4 linked regions of the Drosophila melanogaster genome follow. The protein of the gene in region 3 interacts with the protein of the main gene of each other region in a pairwise test. Each region holds a gene or a part of one and is shown on either strand. Other genes may lie near its edges. The genes, in order: CG10591, CtsB, Sec24AB and CG5386.

Region 1 (3,332 bases), on a different chromosome or scaffold from region 3:
CATTTCTCTACTTACTTAAATTACTAAGAAGCTTGCTTACACAAAATATTTGATATATTTCCGAAGATAACTTTTATGTCATATATGTGCGTATGTTACGTTGCATACGGTGTACATCGAGTATTTTATTTGAATTGTTTGCCTAGAAAACTTATCAATCTATGCAACTGCAACAAAATGTGACTTGAACTTGTTTGCGCCAATTAAGTTATGTACGATGCAAGAAATGTGCTGATTAGCAATAGTCGATAATCTAATAATAAATTCAATATATAAAACCAAAAAAAAAGTTTATGACAGTATAAGCCCCCTTCATCTTGGCCATTATCAGCGAACACACAGATCGTTTCACTTTTACTATTTTTGATTCACTCGGTAACATTGACCCTCAAATTGTTTTCCAATTACTGGGAGGCAAACAACTTCAACGGTCTTATCATCCCATTTATTAGGGGGCCAATTCTGGCACTTCCATTCGTTTTCTTTTCGTTTGGGAGCACAGGATGGATGGAGTACTTTGGGGTTATTCCATGACAACACCATTGATAAAGCCTTTCGGATTCTTGTCGTTAACTGATGATGTTCGATTTGTCTCAAGTAACTGAACTATGTTTATATTACGTATACGACCAATCACTGCAGTGTTTACACACAGTGTGTCTTATACCCTAAAATGTTTGGTGAGCTTTCCAGAATCAACTATATGAATAAATGACTTAAGTTGTTTCAAATACAAGCAACTTTCAAAAATATTATCAGTATAAGTACTGAATAATTTTCCTTCAGCACTAAGTACGTTTTAATTCAAAGTTTCGGAAGTTTGGTAAGATAACCTATGGACATACCTTTGAGATTAGCAGTTTCTAGTAAACAACTATTTTGAAGTGTATCGAATGGTTTCAACTGCTGCCACAAGCCACCCTTCATCCGGATTTACTTCTCTGCTTATCGGGACTTTCAAGAGGCCCAGTGTCATCATAGTTCCAGGGAACGGCGCTAGTTTGGAAGTGAACACCTACGGAGTGGGCACTCGTCCACTAATGACGCGTGTTTTCGGTGGGCTTTGTCTCGTCAATGGAATTCTGTGATAAGTCGGAAATGTTACAGAGCCTTTTCATTTCTAGCCGTGGTAGTGTGGTAACTGATTGGAAACATATTGATTTCGTAATTTATGCTAATTCTGGGCAGTGGAAACTGTAAAGGCGCTTGGGATAATCCCTGAAGAGTTTCCGTTTTGATGAAAAGGCAATTCAAAAATCTGGGTGTCACTTTGATGGGTATCGCCCACATTTGGTCACATAAACTCTACAATCTGATCACTGTTTATGACCTGATAGACAGTTGATGTATTTTTGAAGTTGTCCCGCTGATTGCGGCTGGCTGGCCAAGAATCAAACCGAGAACCCTGCTGACCCAGTTTAAAGGCTTGTCGTCGGGCCTAATGATGTTCGTGTATATTTTGTTGCATAAATTATCATAATTGTCACTGCGCCGACTGGGTGATGGCATTTTTCCTTTTGATCGCTTAGCATTTCCCTTTCGATGGTGGGTTAAGAACAGTTATAGAGATGCGGGAAATGTGTTTTCTGTTCGATCTAGAGATTATTTTGTATATTTTCTATGCATATTAAAACGTAGCTCTCGAGTTTTTCAGCTTATAAAAGCCGAATTCGAATTTTGGATCTCAGTCCGATCTGAAGAGAAATCCGAAGTACATCATGAGTTTTTTGGGACTCTTGGCTTTTCTGGTTGCTGGTAAGTTTATAAAACATTTATAAATTTTTCTACAATATTACAATACCATATATTCCATCAGGTCTTTGCTCCACCGCCCAGGCTTCGTTGGTGAAATGCTCTTGTGATCCTGGTCCACAGGGGGAACGAGGACCTCCAGGTCCGCCTGGACCTCCTGGCAATCAGAACGGTCTCTCTGGCAGTGGTTCTGGCTACTGGGGCTATCCACCCACAGGTCCTTACCCCCCAAATCTGCCTTTCATCCAGGGGCCTAGAGGCTTACCAGGACCGCCTGGTCCTCCTGGATATTGTTTCCCATGCCCAGCTCCTCCACCTTTGAGATCCTTTCCGCCACCGGGAGTTCCAGTCCCTCCTTTCATTTCCACCCCAGGTGGTGGCGGATTTGGTGGAGCCTCTGCATTGACCACCGCTGTGGGCAACATTATAGTGATTCCAGGAGGACCAGGAACGGGATTAGCTGGTCGCGCTCAGTTCTTCCACATTTCACCCGATGGCCAGGTGGTGCAGATCGATCGACCGCAGAATCTGCCCAGTGAACTGTTCGATACACCGGTGAACCAAGGTTCCGGTGCTCCCATTCCTCCACCGCAACCCACATCGTCATCTCTCTCGGGGATCACACCACCAGCAGTCCAAGTGCCACCAACTCAACCCACGCCCGGCGATCTGGGAGCCCAGCAGCCCACAATTTTGCCCGAGAATATGGAGGAAACTGTGTTTGCGGTTGGCAATCGCAAGGACTTCCTGCGAGGTAGCTCCGATGCCAGCGATTGGAGAAGGATTCTCCTCCTGGGAGAGCGACCCACCGATGGTCTACTCAAGGGCCAGTCCGTCCAGCAGCTCAGTCCCAACCAGCTCGAGAGCAGCGTGGAGAACTTCCAGAGGGCTTTGGTCGAACTGAAGGAGAAGTATGCCACGCTCATCCAACCGCGTAACTCAAACCAATATGCAGTCATCATTTGAAGGGAAAACTTAAGATTAAATTTAGTTTAATAATTTAATAAAAACTGTACTGATAATGTCTAAAAAGAATATAAATGACCATTTGATATGGAAGTAGAGGTATTAAGATGTCTCTTTTATGTCTTTCATCTATAGATCTTTTAGTTGTCTGACTTGTTATGTAGAGCTGGCACTTGTGTTATTCGTTCAAGCTTCGTCAACAAAGTACGATATCATTTCTTGGTATTTATAAGATAAATACGGATAAAAATAGAAATACCTATTCGAGGGTAATCCCCCAAAGAATTATGAATTACAATTGTCAACAGTCAATCTGCGTTAAATACGTGAGATTCACAAGAAAAATTCAATCGTCATAACATTGCGATGCCTATTAAATTTTTTTATAAGCATAATAGGCGTGAGTACTTAACGCTTTTTAAGTCTATCAAAACATTTTGAAAATCAATAACGATAATAGGAATTAAAGGTATCAATCCAATCGATTTGATTGGAATCAAGTTTAATTTGCTACAAATGATTTTAATTTAGTTGCAGTCATAACACAGTTAATCAATTTTTGATAGACTTAAATTAAATTTAACTTGTCATTGGTATTGTAAAAATAAAATTCC
Region 2 (4,722 bases), on a different chromosome or scaffold from region 3:
TTGCACACACGACTTTGTGTTTACGTTCTTGTGCCGCGATTTAAGTACTGTTATAACTTTTGCCTGTCATCACTAGTTTGCTTTTTTTGTCTTGTTTATTTTTGTGTATTTTGCATAAATTCCCGGCTAACAATTATATATTTTCGTTTGTTTTATTTATGCACCGCGCAGTGCTTATTGTTGTTGCCGTTTCTTGCGGGAGAGATGCGACGCGCACGCAGCGTCGTCAATGGAGAAAAATAAAAGAGAAAGCGCCCGCTCAGCTCAGCCAGTCTCCGTTGACCGCGCGGTTGGCGAGCTTTCTTGCAACTGACTTTCGAGTTTGAACGCGAAACTTTCGATTTCCATTTCCCGATGGCGAAGGACGATAGCCATCATACGATAACGATAGCCCAATGGAAAGCAGCTGTCGGAAATGCAATGGATCCACTGAACAAATTTTGGAACAGCTGTGGCGCTACATTCGAATTGAACAAAATATACTTTAAAATTAAAAATAAAAACGATTGTGCAAAGTCAAAACGTCCCTTTTGATGCTATGCGGGCATTTTTGCACGGATCAAAGCTGTAGTTTTGGTGTAAGCTAAAAAAACAATTGGTTTAAGAGGCAGTCATTTGATTGTCTTAGGCATATAAAAACTATTTAACTGTACTTCTAAATATTTATTTATCCTTACTTTACATCTAATAGATATGTATGAAATTATTAATTTCAATGATTTTATAACAAAGGTATTTATAATGAAATAAGGGGCAAGTTAATTTAATTTCCTAACACTACGAATTAATCAGTGAACAAGATTAATCTTATTTAACTACTTAAAGCTATGACACAGAGGCATATCACACACGTCTAGACATAGGGATTCCAATTGCTGCCGTCCTCGGGCAGCAAATTGTTGGTGATCAGGAGGATGACGTCGATGATCCACCAAACGCCCACGCCGCCCATGGTAAGCAGTTTGCCCACAGCCGTGCCCGTTTGACCGAGACAGAAGCGATCCATACCGAGGAAACCCAGCAGCATGCTGTAGATCAGTGTGGTCACAAAGTAGTGATCCGTGTAGCGGACACAGGGCACTCCGGCGCGCAGAAAGGTGCGATTACCGTAGCACTCGATGTCGGCAAACACGGTGCACCAGACCATGGCGTGCTCCACCTCTTCGTACGTGGAACCACCGAACTTCAGGCATCCGTATTTCTTTTCCTGCTGCGCCGTGGCGTTCTCCCGATGATCGACGGGATCCTTGCAATCGAGAAAGTCGCGCGGCAGAAACGAGCACATCACATTCGGTCCCAGTGGATAGAAGGCCGAGTTTCCAGCTCCGCCCGAGGCGGAAGATGCCGAAGATGACGATGAGGAGGGTCCCATGCCGGAGCCCAGTTGCGCCTGAACGGGCACCACCGATTGCACCGCCGTGCCGGAGACCACAGTCTGCGGCTGCTCCTTGTCGCTGCGTGCCTGTATCGCTTGGGCATCGTGTTGTCTGGCCACCAGGAACGCCAGTAGTCCGTAGAAAATCCGCATCTTTGCGAGCTCCTTATCAAAATATAGCTAGCCAGTGTGGCCACACCTTAGCACAGCTAACAGAGCTCTGTTATCTGCGATGGCCTACCGATAGTTCTGATTTTAAGCACCACGACAACGAATGGAAATAAATAAATGCAAATAAACCACCTTTCAAGTAACAGTGCTCCTTAGCATATTTATTGGCATTAGTGTGATCGTAGTCTTTAGTTAAGTACATTTAGTGAAGTGCTATTTAGTATAATGCGTTTATTTATTTCAGACTAGTTACCAATCACGCGCCCATCTCTACATTCGATAGGCAACGGCCCTGTTGCATTGGTGTGCACACACTGGCCGCGTAATCAGCGGGCGCGAACCATTTTTTTTTTTTTTTGTGCGACAGAACAAAAACAAGAGAATAATAGACGCTTAAAGAGCATTACCCGTCCGAATTTCACGGGCAGTACGAAAACAAGAACGGAGCAGAGAGCCCGCTTAATACGACGCGTCATTTTCCACCATTTTACTGCTGTGATTTGTTTGAATTTTGCTGTGTCAGCGCATTGGAAATTCGTTGGACAAGAATAATGAATCTATTGCTCCTGGTGGCCACCGCGGCCTCCGTGGCGGCACTCACGTCCGGTGAGCCGTCACTGCTCTCGGATGAGTTCATCGAGGTGGTGCGCAGTAAGGCCAAAACCTGGACGGTAAATTCCTTTGTTTCCAACCCTTTTCTTGCTGACGTGACAAGAAAATTGCATTTTCCCGTTTCCTATCCGCCAGGTGGGTCGCAATTTCGATGCATCCGTAACGGAGGGACATATTCGCCGCCTGATGGGCGTCCATCCGGATGCGCACAAGTTCGCACTGCCCGACAAGCGTGAAGTTCTTGGCGATCTATACGTGAATAGCGTTGACGAACTTCCCGAAGAGTTCGATTCCCGCAAGCAATGGCCAAACTGCCCAACCATTGGCGAGATTCGCGACCAGGGTTCATGCGGCTCCTGCTGGGCCTTTGGTGCCGTGGAAGCCATGTCCGATCGCGTACGTAGCTTACCTTATCGATATTATAACCCCTTCCATTCTTTGTTTGTCCAGCTGATAAATTTCCCCATTTTTTTTTATTATTATTTTCTTTTTGTATTTGTTATCAATGATTTTTTTTTTTTTACTGATTTCGCAATGGGCAGGTGTGCATCCATTCCGGCGGCAAGGTGAATTTCCACTTTTCGGCCGATGATCTCGTCTCCTGCTGCCACACCTGCGGATTTGGCTGCAATGGCGGTTTCCCCGGCGCCGCCTGGAGCTACTGGACGCGCAAGGGAATCGTCAGCGGAGGACCCTACGGATCTAATCAGGTTGGTGATCTTCTCCTGCTTTAATGGGATTTTGCAAATCATATTTAGTTTGGTTTAAAAGGGCTTGCAATTTGGTTTTGCTTGCAGATGAGTTTCCAATAAAAAAAAGGGTTTGTTTTCTAACGAAGAAAAACATACTTTATGTGCAAAAATAACCTGTATTTGTACATATTGTATTTCTACGCCGAAATAGTTAGAAAGCAACTTGATTTTGTTCTTTGTTTACTTGAAGTGAACTGAAGACTCAGTTTACGACGCCATAAAAAATTGTATACCACAGATATCGCTAGAAAGCGGCTTAGTATATCATATACAAACATCCATATACACAAAGCTATATGTATATATATCATATACGAACATCTATAGATATACATGCATATATTGTGAATGCACTCCAGATTCGCGTACATCCTCAACGATAAGTTTTAGCTGCTACTAACTCATTTCCCAGATATAGTAAGGCAAACAGAAGAAAAAACGATTCTAATATGCACTTATTTTGCAGGGCTGCCGTCCTTACGAGATTTCTCCCTGTGAGCACCATGTGAATGGAACCCGACCACCATGTGCCCATGGCGGTAGAACGCCCAAGTGTTCGCACGTCTGCCAGAGCGGTTACACCGTCGATTATGCCAAGGACAAGCACTTCGGCTCCAAGTCGTACTCGGTGAGGCGTAATGTGCGTGAAATTCAGGAGGAGATCATGACCAATGGACCGGTTGAGGGCGCCTTCACCGTTTATGAGGATCTCATTCTGTACAAGGACGGTGTCTATCAGCACGAGCATGGCAAGGAGCTGGGCGGTCATGCCATTCGCATTTTGGGCTGGGGCGTTTGGGGCGAGGAGAAGATTCCGTACTGGCTAATTGGTAACTCGTGGAACACCGATTGGGGCGATCATGGTTTCTTCCGCATCCTGCGTGGCCAGGATCATTGCGGCATCGAGAGCTCCATTTCGGCGGGTCTGCCCAAGCTGTAAATGTTATATGTATTCCGGCATCAAGCTGATATATCAAAACCCCTCTATTTTCTATCATCCCTCCTTTTATTTTCATTCCGATTCGCAACTGACGTTTGTAGTTAATGTAAACAACCTAAACCTGATTGATAATAAAGTATTGTATATGACTGTGGAACTGTACTTTGCTCGTATACAGTGGGACCTCTCTAACTAGAAACAAGGCAAACAAAAAAAAGAAAATGATTATCAAACTGGAACTCAGATATAATTAAAAGCGAATAATACTATTTGTGAAACAATGCTATAACTATCCAACTATAAACTATTGTTTAGCGTAGCTATGCCTTTTTTATTTAATAGTAGAGATTAATAGTAGAGAGTATCTGATCCTCTATACTATGTACACACATTTAAATGGAACGCCGTCAATCGTTCAATCGTTAAACTGGCTAGCTGTATGTTTTGCGAGTTATAAATGTGATTAGCATCGCATTTGATTAATCAAACAAAGAGTACAGCTTGCAATCGCATTCGTCATTTGGTGCGATTTTGTTGAGTTAATTTATTATTACATTAGTTAGCTTGGCCATACATACATACATACATACATATATGTACATACATATGTAAAACTTATCTCGTTGAAGCTGCCCACAATTTGCAGCACCAAATGTCCATTCAAATTGTACACATATTTATTCACATAACATGTTTTATTTATTTTTCTCATTTGCAACATCAAATAGAACATTTGTTTTGTATTTTCAGTTTTTTTTTTGTTATCTTGTCATGAACCAACCGCTTCTCTTATCGATTTTCTGTGAATTGATTGACTGGTTTTGTAGCCACTCTTCTATTCACCGAAACTCGATATTTTTCTAACAAACAGC
Region 3 (8,018 bases):
CACAAATTAATCCTATGCCTGATTGTCCAACGTTGTATTCAAATTGTTGCTATCTGTACTTATATATGATTGCTGTGTGTTTAATATTACACCCAATCCCAATCAGTTGACCACATAGTGAATCTGAATGAATCTCTTGAATTTTCTAGAAAACCGAAGTATTCGTCGACGTAAATCGCATACCCATATTTAAGAAACAAGTTCGACCAATCGTTGAGCAGGATGAGTACGAATCGCGACGCGTTTGGAAGGAAGTGACAGCGGGACTCAAGTAAACAGCATACCAATTAATTCCTGACCCCCAATTGCGAGTCATGATAAATGTAATCTCTTTGTTCGTTGCTCTTCCACAGGTTCAATGACATCGAGCGCGCTACAACTGCCAAATTCGTTGTGGAGCAACAGCAGCGTGATCAAGCCAAGGTGCGCAAGGAATACGATCTGGCCTGGGAGCACAAGGTACGTCATCCCGATATAGGGTAAAACAGTTAACAGATAATATTCGTTCACAGCACTTTAAGCCCGTGGGCGACAACTGGATCTACGCCAAGCCGCTGAGTCAGCGCATGTATCTGCAGGAGAAGGAGGCCAAGAGATAATGCCTCCGACTGACAACGAGAGCAACAACACCAAAAACGTCTATATATATGGATCATATCAAGAACGAGCCTCAACTATATGTTTAATTCCACAAGTGCGCAAACCTCTCAACACTGACGATACAACGTAACGAATGCAGGAAAAGTTAGAGCAACAACTGAACTGGCAGAAGGAGATCCATGATGGAGGCTCCAGGGTCTGGTTATTAATTGTAAATAATATACACAGAGAAAAAGAAAGGAGTAAAGCTCTGCTCATTAGGTTGGAACGCGAGTCAAGCTCGACAGCTCAGCGGAGACAGAAAAATCAAACACTCACAGTTTCTATACAGAATTAACGATTATTATTTACTACTAAGTACTAGTGTGTTTCAAAGGCAATCGCAGTAAACTGCAACACAATGACACCTATTCAATACCTTTTACATTACTAACATTTACTAACTAGCAACAAAGAAAGAAATCCAATACATAATGGGATATATCAAAAGTTGTAGATTACAAAATGATAGTTACTTAAGGATAATAGAGATTCTATTTTTGAAATAAAAGACTCTGCTATAGACGAAATACAATACCGACACGCTAGTATCCGACAGATACTGCACCCTCGCTTCTTTCCAAGACCACAGGACAGACACACGGACATAGAACACACGGTGCACAATGATTTTCCAGTCGCATAGCTTATAAATCAAATACGATTACCTTTAGTATTATGTTTCGAATTCCACTTGTCACAATAATAACAATAAAGCTTTACCAAGAGTCCGCTGGTGACACACCTTTACACCTTACTGCAATAGAACCCAATTGAAAACCGAACTCCTAGACACGTTGAATAATAGACATTAAATTTAATTTATAACTTTATAACTTACGAGCCAGGAAGCAACACCACCCACACAGCAAATCTACCGACTACTCTCACGCAAAGTTAACGCAAAATGAAACGAATAAAGTAAATACGCTTCGAAATTGATTTAAAGTAATATTTAACGAACTAGTTACCCCGTAGAATAAAAGAATTGTAATCCCAATGGCATTAATTGGAACTTATATCCAAGCCCGGGGAAACTTGTATATATTTTTGCGATTTTCTTTTTAACCAACGTGTTAATTGAGAAATTGAGCTACTCCCAAGCAGATACAAATATTGCAAATAAAGCGATTTGTTCTTTAAGCAGTTTTAATGGATTTTGGATTTCGGGCTTACGAACATTTAAGCTCATATCATTAACAGAGTTATATATAATATACATTGCTTGTCTTCACTTAATAAACATTGCGTTAAGTTTTAAATTTGAATTGTTACAAAAATAATGTTACCATTGGTATCGATAACATTTTATTTGCAATCGATAGGCGACCCAGAGCACTGTCATCTCTTTTTTAAAACCAACGGTCACACTATTGACGTGGCCTCAAAATTTTTTGTTCTCCGGAAAATGCAAAAAGTTTGCATTTAAGTTAATTGTGCATAGCAGCGTACGACGCCAAGTCCAAAGAATCCGCCTGCCAATATAGGACGTGTTCGCATCCATCCGGAGCACGCGAGGAGCGCTTGAAATCGTGTAAGAAAGAAACTAGTGCGGAAGGAAGTTTTGGGAGTGGAGAGAGCGTAGGGAAGTGCGAAAATCGTTTAATTTTCGTTCGCGGAGAAAAATCCAGCCAAGGATTTCACAAAAGACCAGAACAAAGAGTACAACCAGTGGTTTTTACAGCTGCATCCGCCCTTTCCTCACAACGAAAGGCGGAAAAGCTAATTCATAGTCCGCAGCAAAATCGCCAATCAAGGGCGCAAGAAGAAGAGGCAACTACAAAGTGCAAGTGCTGGCCGAGGAACTTCATGCCAATGAAAACTGAAGCTCGGGAAGGTGATAAGTGATTGGTAACCGTGTTATGGGCACTACATATGCCTTGATTGCCCCAATTTCTTTGAGTGGGTGGTGGGCGTGGCGGGTTGACTTCGCCAATAGGCACGTCATCAAAAATTTGCTTTGTTCCGGAGACAAATCCTTTCTCTTCCTGATTGCTTCCACTGCATCTGGGTCACCAATTTAACCGACCCACCTTCTGCGATCATTGATGGCGAGGTCAAGTGCTTGAGGCACGCACACTTACACGTTGTACATCACATAATAACCCATAACGACCTGCTGTCGAAGCTGTTTAAACAGCAAAATATGATATGAAATTATCACCCTATTTCCGACTTACTGTTGACGTAGACACAGTTCTGTAAACACTGAATCAAGACATTTACCTAGGCAGCCAGTCTAGCTTAAAAGTTTGTGATAAAGCTCCAATAACGCAGAATTTCGCATTCCATTCGATCACTGCAAATTCTAAACTGTCTGTAAGCGGGGAAAAGCATCCCGCTTTAAAACTTTACAACTTTTATCAGCCGCACATTGTTTCATGTTACGCGCTTTTTAACATTGAACGATAAGATAATTCCCTGTTTCATGTCGGCAGCAACGCAACCTTCGCTAGTGATAAGATAGCAACTAAACAAAATGTAATTCTTCATCTTTCAGACCACAAACCTATGAATTAGCAGCATGTCGACTTACAATCCGAACTTCGTGCCTCCCGCCCACGCCCCTATGCCACTGAACGGAAACAATTTTGTGAATGGTGTGCAAGGAAGCGTCCAGCAGCAGCCAGGTCCTCCACCTGGTCAGCAGTATATACCACAGAAGCAGCCACAACAGTTCCAGCAACCACCTCCTGCAGCAGCTTTTCCGGGAGCAGGAGCGCCAGGTAATGTGCCACCGCCGCAGCAGTTCAACAGTGGTATTACGAACCAGTTCTTGCCGCCCACGTCAGGAGCAGCTACACCTCTGCAGCAACTGCCGCCCAGCACGCTGCCGCCCCATCTGCGTCCGCCCGCCGCCAACGGACCACCCCTTACGAACGGCAGCAATGGGGCGTCCAGTGCGAACTCTTCGCGCACTGCATCCCCAAGGCCAGTAGGAGCTGCCCCTCAATATGCTCAAGGACCAATCGCTGCAGCGTTGAACAATCCGCCCCTGGCGTCGGGACTGCGTCCTTCGCCCCAACCGACGCACCAATCTCTGGCCAACTTGACGAGCAATCTGGAAAATCTTAACTTGAATACCACTCGAGCAAATGGAGGTACCAGCATTTTGCCACAACCCCAAACCCAGCAACAGTACGCACCCACAGTAACACAAAAGGATGGCAGGGGAGTGGCCTCGGCCCAGACGGGTCCACCGCAGTTCAACGACGCCAACAGTCTGTTGGCGGCCAGCGGAGTGGCCGCTGCACTAGTTCCCAATGCCATGGCGACGCCGTTTAGTGGACAAAAGCCCCCCAATTTGGCTCCAAATCCGGCCAAAATGTTCGGAAGCGCCTCGATGGCCGGTAGACCAACACCAGCGGGGCAACGAATCCCATACGGAGTACCCCCACCAACTAACCCCGAGCAGCAGAGCCAGCAAAACAACAATCTACAGAATGCACCGCCGCCACCAAGAGTAGGAGCGGTATGGCCGCCGAGCTTACCAAATGTAGCGGCGCCGGGAGCCCAGCCCATGATGCCGCCAGCCCAGCAGACACCACAGACGTATCCATACTCCCAGGTTTATCAACCAGGACCACAGCAACAGCCACCACCTCCTCAGTCTGCAGTGCAGCCACCGCCGCCGGGAATGTTCGGAACGCAACCGACTGGAGCTCCACTGCAGTATCAGGCACAGGCGCCTCCTCAGGCTTACGGACAACATCCTCAGCAAGCACCCCAGACTGCACCCGGGGGACCTTATGGAACCACTGCTCCACTAAACGTGGCTCAGCAGGGATTCAGCAGATTGTGGGGACAGGATACTATCGACCTTATGCAGAATCGGCATATCTTAACGCCGGCAACGTTGCCTCCGCCAAAAGTGGTTTTGCACAACCAGTTTCACGAGTCCATAAACTGTAGCCCGAGCATTATGCGCTGTACGCTGACCAAGATTCCCGAGAGCAACTCTCTGCTCCAGAAGTCACGTCTGCCTCTGGGCATTGTGATACATCCCTTCCGTGATGTCAATGTAAGAATTTTATTGAAAATAATTTGATATAAAAGACTTTAACTTGGAATTCCTCACACAGAGCCTCCCTGTTATTCAGTGCATCAACATTGTGCGTTGCCGGCTGTGCCGCACTTACATAAATCCCTTCGTTTACTTCGTGGACAGCAAGATGTGGAAGTGCAATCTGTGTTATCGAGTCAACGAATGTAATTGAAAAGAGTTCCCAGCATATAATGGATTTAGTAATCCAATGTTTCTTTCTTCGTGCAGTGCCAGATGACTTTCAATTTGATCCGGCCACAAAGACATACGGCGACGTAACCCGAAGGCCCGAGGTACGCTCTAGCACCATAGAGTTTATTGCTCCTTCGGAGTACATGTTGCGGCCGCCACAGCCGGCCATGTACCTGTTTCTCTTCGATGTCTCGATAATCGCGCAGCAGAGTGGTTATCTGGAGGCCGCATGCGCCGTACTCAACCGGCACTTAGACGAGATGCCCGGTGATGCGAGGACCCAGGTGGGATTCATTTGCTTCGACAGCTTCGTGCACTTCTACAGCATGGCCGAGGGGCTCAACCAGCCGCACGAAATGACGCTGCTGGACATCGAGGACCCCTTCCTGCCACGTCCTGATAGTTTGCTGGTAAACCTAAAGGAGTGCAAGGAACTGGTGCGTGATCTATTAAAGCAACTGCCTAAGCGGTTTGCCCACACCCACGATCCGGGTTCCGCCTTGGGTGCTGCTCTGCAGGTTGCTTTCAAGCTAATGGTGAGTTGAGCTATTCAAAATTAAAGAGGAACCTTAATCATCGTGAATACTGTATACAGCAAGCGTCCGGCGGACGGATAACCGTCTTTCAATCGTGCCTTCCCAACAAGGGACCCGGAGCCTTGGAGCCGCGCGAAGATCCCAACAACCGCTCGGCAAAGGACGTGGCCCACCTTAACCCGGCAACCGACTTCTACAAGCGCTTTGCCCTAGAGTGCTCCGGCTATCAAATAGCTTGTGACCTCTTCCTGATGAACCAGCAGTACAGCGACATGGCAACCATTTGTAAGTGACTCTTAGTAATGTAAATTCAAACTGCCTTTTTGCATTAAGTTCTCTTACGAGTAATAGAGCACCGTTAACTTATTGGAGTTTCAATTTCCCTATAGCTGGCATTAGCAAACATAGCGGCGGCTGTGTACACCACTTCCCGCTCTACCAGAAGACAAAGCCACACATGGTAGAATCGTTCCGCTCGTGTTTCAAGCGCTATCTTACCAGGAAAATTGGATTTGAGGCGGTAATGCGAATCCGCTGCACTCGTGGCTTGCAGGTGCATACATTCCATGGAAACTTCTTCGTGCGCTCCACGGACCTGCTCTCGTTGCCAAACGTGAATCCGGATGCTGGATATGGCATGCAGATCTCCTACGAGGAGAGCCTCACGGACGCGAAAACGATTTGCTTCCAAGCTGCGCTGCTCTATACGAACAGCGAAGGAGAGCGCCGAATCCGTGTGCACACCGTGTGTTTGCCGGTTACCGCTTCGCTCCCAGAGGTAATGCATTCAGCCGACACGGAAGCTATTATCGGGCTGCTGTCGAAAATGGCGGTTGACCGGTCGGTCGCCTCCAACTTGTCGGACGCCCGCGATGCATTCATAAACGCTACGATCGACGTGTACAATGCCTTCAAGATAGCACAAAATCTGCCATCGGGACAGTCGGGTCAGCTGATAGCGCCGCGCAGCCTGGCGTTGCTCCCGCTCTACATCTTGGCCCTGCTTAAGCACGTGAGTTTTTTGCATATGATCTTAGTTATCACAGCTTATTTCGGTTTTCCACTAGCCCGCTTTCCGTGTGGGAACTAGCACACGACTGGATGATCGGGTCTACGCCATGGATTGCATGAAAACGCTACCGCTGGACCAGCTAATGAAGTACGTGTACCCGGAGCTGTACAAGATCGATGCGTTGATCTACCACGCCCGCAACTCGAACATTAGTTCGAACCAGGATGACGACGAGGACGAGGATGAACCGTTGCCGGAGCTGCCGCGTCTTCAATTGTCCGCGGAACAGTGAGTAGAGTTGATTTATTTTTGACCTTCGATAACGAACGCTTTAACTTCAGCTTGGACTCTCGGTCAATATTTCTGATGGACTGCGGAACGCTGATAATGATCTATGTCGGCCTTAATGTGCCGCCCGATGTTTTGGAAGCTGTTCTGGGTATGATCTTAAAACCCAACCAATTTGTGTTACTAATCTGTTTCTAATTTCAGGCATCAGCTCCACCGCAGAACTGGGTGATTATGTATATGGATTGCCAAATGTTGTGAGCAACGAGAACGATGTGCTGAAGCGTTTTATTTTGCGACTCAACTACGATAAGCCCTACTCGGCGCTGGTGCAGATAATTAGGTAAGTCGGACCACTATTAAAATATTCATAATACCTTGCTAATTATTTTATCTTAAATTAAAGGGACACGAGCACGGCCAAGGGCCAGTTCACCGAGAGATTAACCGACGATCGCAGTGAATCTAGTTTGTCATACTATGAATTTTTGCAACACATTCGGGCTCAGGTTAAATAGTATATAAGCAGGATATCCTACCACTATTGTATGCAGCATAAATACGAGTTTCTAAGAACCTAAAAACTCAGACTCTGGTGACTAGAAGCACGAAGCGAATGCAGGTGACACTGGTGCGAAACAATGGAGACCAGTTCGGGACAGACATACACTTGATACACCTTAACCACCCATCCCCTACCCACTCTCTCGGCTTAGGTAATTTTAAAGTGCATGTATTTATTTATTTGTTGATTTGTTGCACTAAAAATAAAATAAAATAATTGAAGATCATAGTAAATGCGAAAGAGCCAACTTGTCACAACAGAAACTAAGATATCGTTGCCAGTTCGTTTAGGGCGAACATTAGTCAAAAGTTCAGCTAACCAGTCAGTAGAGCTCCCGAAGAAGTGGATGGCTCCGTTATTTATTATAGAAACTATGCAATAAACCAACGAAACTGTTGTACATTATGCTTTAGCTCGATTTTTGTTCGTTCCAACTGCTTCAAACATTCTGCAAACTTCTCAGCCCCACAAATTGTTATCGCTTACCCCAATTGTTTGCTGTTTTCAGTAGTATTTATTTTCCGGAATCCAGAGAAATCTATATTTATTTATAAGTGTAAGGAAAGGCGTTTTGTTGCACTGTAGTTAGCGAACTTATTTCAAACGTATGTACGGATTTGGTATTGTGTATTGCATTCATTGGACTGCTAGGCAGTGAATGTCTTAAGCTTAGAAGGAATATTATACTGTATCAATAAAGAGACCCCATCCCTGTACCTCAGGTGGCGCAGTTGTCGTTCT
Region 4 (3,182 bases), on a different chromosome or scaffold from region 3:
ATTCCTATGGCGGCGCTCGCCTGTAATTTATGTGCTTAACTTTCACACTCGGCTGGCTAAAACAGTCACCGAAAAATCGTCATAAAAATAGAAAATATATATATATATGAACACTCTCGTACTCGGCCATTTCACACTTTTGCGCCTTTCGGCCGAAAAGCGGTGGAAAATGAAAGCGAAGCCACAAGGACAACGGCTAAATGCGGAGGAGGACGAATACATTCCAGTGAATATTTATGAGCAACCAAAGTAGCATTTGTGCTTTACATTCCGACTTTATTGTGGCCATCGTTGCTGAAGTCCAGCCAGTTGTTGTTGCCTCTGTGTGCAACAGTCCCGTCCATCGTTGAAATTCAGGCCGCCCTTTGTGGCTGCCATTGCTTCACTGGAATAAATATTCAAATTGTATGTAATAGTTTATACTACTACTCTATTCTATGAACTCGCATTTGATCATCTACTTAGGTTTTAATATATCAAATATTTCGATAGAAACTATCTTGTTTATTATGATGTTCAACTGATATTTTAATTAAGTTGCTTTTTACTGTGTAATGTTGGCGCTGCTCTTGTTGCTGTTGCCGTCCTCTCATCTCTGTCAGCTTTTCCGACTCTGATGAGTTTATGCTTGGAGCACATATTACTTTATTCCAGAGTGTGCCTAGGCCCCTGGCCACGCCCCCCGCCCATGTGGTTTTGGCCCACCAACACAGGCACATGCACACAGTCGGCCATTCATGACTGTCATGAGTTTTCCGCAATTGATGGTCTAATTATGCCGCCAACACTAAATTTCATGACTTTGCTGGTCGACGAAGGCCGCCGATGATGAGGGGGTAGAGGGGAGGGGGTATTTTCCGAGAAGGGGAATTGTAATTTAATGGAAAAACATTTTGCCACACATCCACGGAGAGCGGAAAATGGGAGCTGAAGCCAAGGGCCACTTTACAGTTTGACAGTCACTGCCAGACGGTTGACATTTTAGCTTGGATTTATGGCCACCTCTTTGAAATGGCTCGTATGTTAATGCAACAGTTTGAGAAGCGTAGTTTTATGGATTTGAGTTTAAGAGCCCTTTTTGTTGAAAGCACATAATCATATAACTTATGGAGGCATTTACAGCAGCTGAAAGGCAGCTTATTATAAAAAACATATTTCTTATTAAAGCTAAAATATTAAACTTTACCAATAAGAAGTAAACTATTTAGATGAATAAATGTATTCTAATCAATTTAAGAGAGGTATAACGTTACTATTTAGTTTCTATTAGCTTATTTTTACTATTTGATTAAGCCAATTAGCTAGTCATATTTTTTGTAGCCGGCTAATTGAGATCCACTCAATCGAGAACCGCTGTCGGGCCTCCAGTTGGATCTGTAAAGCCGAACTGGTAATTATCATACCGAAACCAATGGGGCACATCAAAATGTTCACACTTCATAATATTTGCATATTAATGTGCATGTATAATTAGCTTCGAAATAATTAATGCCCGAAAACAAGAAACCTAATCGAATGCCTAGGCAAAAGCAAGCATCTCCCAATTAGAATCCATGGCATCGGAGAATATTTGATGTGTGAAGTTAGTTAGCCGGAGTTAGTTCTCACCGAGAGTTTCGAGTGGAAGGTCTCTGGCACTAATAAGTCTTTAAATATGTATCCAAATTGGCTCGTTCTGCTCCACTTGCCGCTGGTTTGTTTGGGAGTTGTTTCGCAAACATTTGCACAGCCGCTGACAAAGTAGGTCGTGTGAATGTGCTGGAATGAATCTCGCCCAGTGTGTGGGTGGTGGTTAGCGGGTCAATCTATTGAGCAAACTATTTGCTTACAGGCACCACAACACCGGCATCCTGAGCATCAATCGGGCGGAGGGACAGAAGATTGAGGAAGCCGCGCTCCAGCAGCATCTGCAACAAATCACGGGCAGCGAAGCGTTGGCGCCATTGTTGCACGAGTTACTGGGCCAAACTGTGCCAAATTGGCAGCAGCCACAGCAGCAGCAGAAACATCAGCAGCCACGGCAGCAGCAGCAGCAACACTACCAACAACAGCAACCAAAATGGCAGCAACAACAGGCCACAAATCAACCGCAACAGGAACAGGGGCAACACTTTTTTGTTTATGAAAACGCCGCGGGTCAACCACCTCAAATATTGGCCGGGTTCAATGGCGTCAATGTGCAACCTGAACAACCAGGCCAGCAACTGCGTCTCCAGCCAAAGCCAATTCAGACGGCACAACAATATGGAGGAGTCGGGCCAAAAGTCGTTAAGGCGCCGCCAGCCGCAGCTGCAGCCGTTTGGGCGCCACGAGTCGAGAGCCACCCGCCGTAAGTAAACACTGAAAACTACCAACTTATATAATCCATTATTTGCATTAAACAATGCATTTTAATTAGCCCATACCCATCTGCGGCAACTGCAGCGCCAGCAAGTTGCCAACTCGGCAGGAATCCGTCGGAAGTTGCCGCTCCTGCCAGCCCCAAAGCCACGCCCCCCGCGCTATGTCCGCCTCCTTCGGGTGGCCAGGAGACGATCCCCTTGCTCAGTGCTGCGGCGCTCAAGGCGACAGCTGGTTAAGTTTTTAATTAAATCGCTGGCATAATTAATAAAGATGCGCATAGAGAGTCGGGCAAAGTGTTGCATACTTTTGGGGCGGCCGATCGCATGGGTGTATTGGTTGCCGTGCACATGTGTGTGTGTGTACTCAATATTCATTCATGTGAGAGCAGCAGCTGTGTCAGTTACTGCAAAAAAAGTGAACTGGCTTTTTTGAAAATATCTTTATTAAATTCGAGGATTTTGAATAACCTTGAATAAACAGATGTAACAGATTCTAGATTTTTCTAGAATTTTTTTTTCTAATCCGTAACCAGATTTGGCTTCCAATCTCCCAAAGCCCAGAAAGAACTCGAACAATACGTATGAGACTTATTTGTCAGCGTGCCTGCTCCGGCCTAGCAGGACCTCCGCCCACCAGGACTCGTTTCGAGCTGTCACCGAACTCAGCATAAAAGTAAAACATTCAACTAAAAACAATTTCTAAAAATATATGTGTACGAATATAAAACATGCAACACGAAAAAACCGCACAAAACACTTCACGTTGAGTGCGACTCGCAAATTGTGGGGCGTCTGTGTGAGTGAGCTGCACCACCGACACCAACAGCACCACCGCAGAAA

The links.
Region 1: the proteins of Sec24AB (region 3) and CG10591 interact in a two-hybrid assay, tested with the Drosophila melanogaster proteins (one large-scale study listed by BioGRID).
Region 2: the proteins of Sec24AB (region 3) and CtsB interact in a two-hybrid assay, tested with the Drosophila melanogaster proteins (one large-scale study listed by BioGRID).
Region 4: the proteins of Sec24AB (region 3) and CG5386 interact in a two-hybrid assay, tested with the Drosophila melanogaster proteins (one large-scale study listed by BioGRID).

What each region holds. Positions count from the first base shown.
Region 1 is NT_037436.4:5,598,044-5,601,375, reverse strand, and holds CG10591 (uncharacterized protein), read left to right. Parts: upstream 1-1,683; 5' UTR 1,684-1,718; coding exon 1,719-1,755; intron 1,756-1,816; coding exon 1,817-2,718; 3' UTR 2,719-2,819; downstream 2,820-3,332.
Region 2 is NC_004354.4:13,779,305-13,784,026, reverse strand, and holds CtsB (cathepsin B), read left to right. Parts: upstream 1-1,856; 5' UTR 1,857-2,097; coding exon 2,098-2,217; intron 2,218-2,293; coding exon 2,294-2,554; intron 2,555-2,700; coding exon 2,701-2,868; intron 2,869-3,376; coding exon 3,377-3,850; 3' UTR 3,851-4,180; downstream 4,181-4,722. Other genes in the region: amrt (amaretto), read right to left, coding at 854-1,528.
Region 3 is NT_033778.4:9,876,338-9,884,355, reverse strand, and holds the start of Sec24AB (secretory 24AB), read left to right. Parts: upstream 1-1,998; 5' UTR 1,999-2,173; exon of another isoform or gene 2,174-2,960; intron 2,961-3,139; 5' UTR 3,140-3,163; coding exon 3,164-4,660; intron 4,661-4,721; coding exon 4,722-4,848; intron 4,849-4,912; coding exon 4,913-5,412; intron 5,413-5,471; coding exon 5,472-5,697; intron 5,698-5,801; coding exon 5,802-6,424; intron 6,425-6,479; coding exon 6,480-6,712; intron 6,713-6,765; coding exon 6,766-6,863; intron 6,864-6,916; coding exon 6,917-7,055; intron 7,056-7,118; coding exon 7,119-7,230; 3' UTR 7,231-8,018. Other genes in the region: CG1513 (uncharacterized protein), read left to right, coding at 150-271, 354-459, 513-599.
Region 4 is NT_033777.3:22,340,687-22,343,868, reverse strand, and holds CG5386 (uncharacterized protein), read left to right. Parts: upstream 1-1,617; 5' UTR 1,618-1,654; coding exon 1,655-1,740; intron 1,741-1,831; coding exon 1,832-2,329; intron 2,330-2,398; coding exon 2,399-2,579; 3' UTR 2,580-2,633; downstream 2,634-3,182.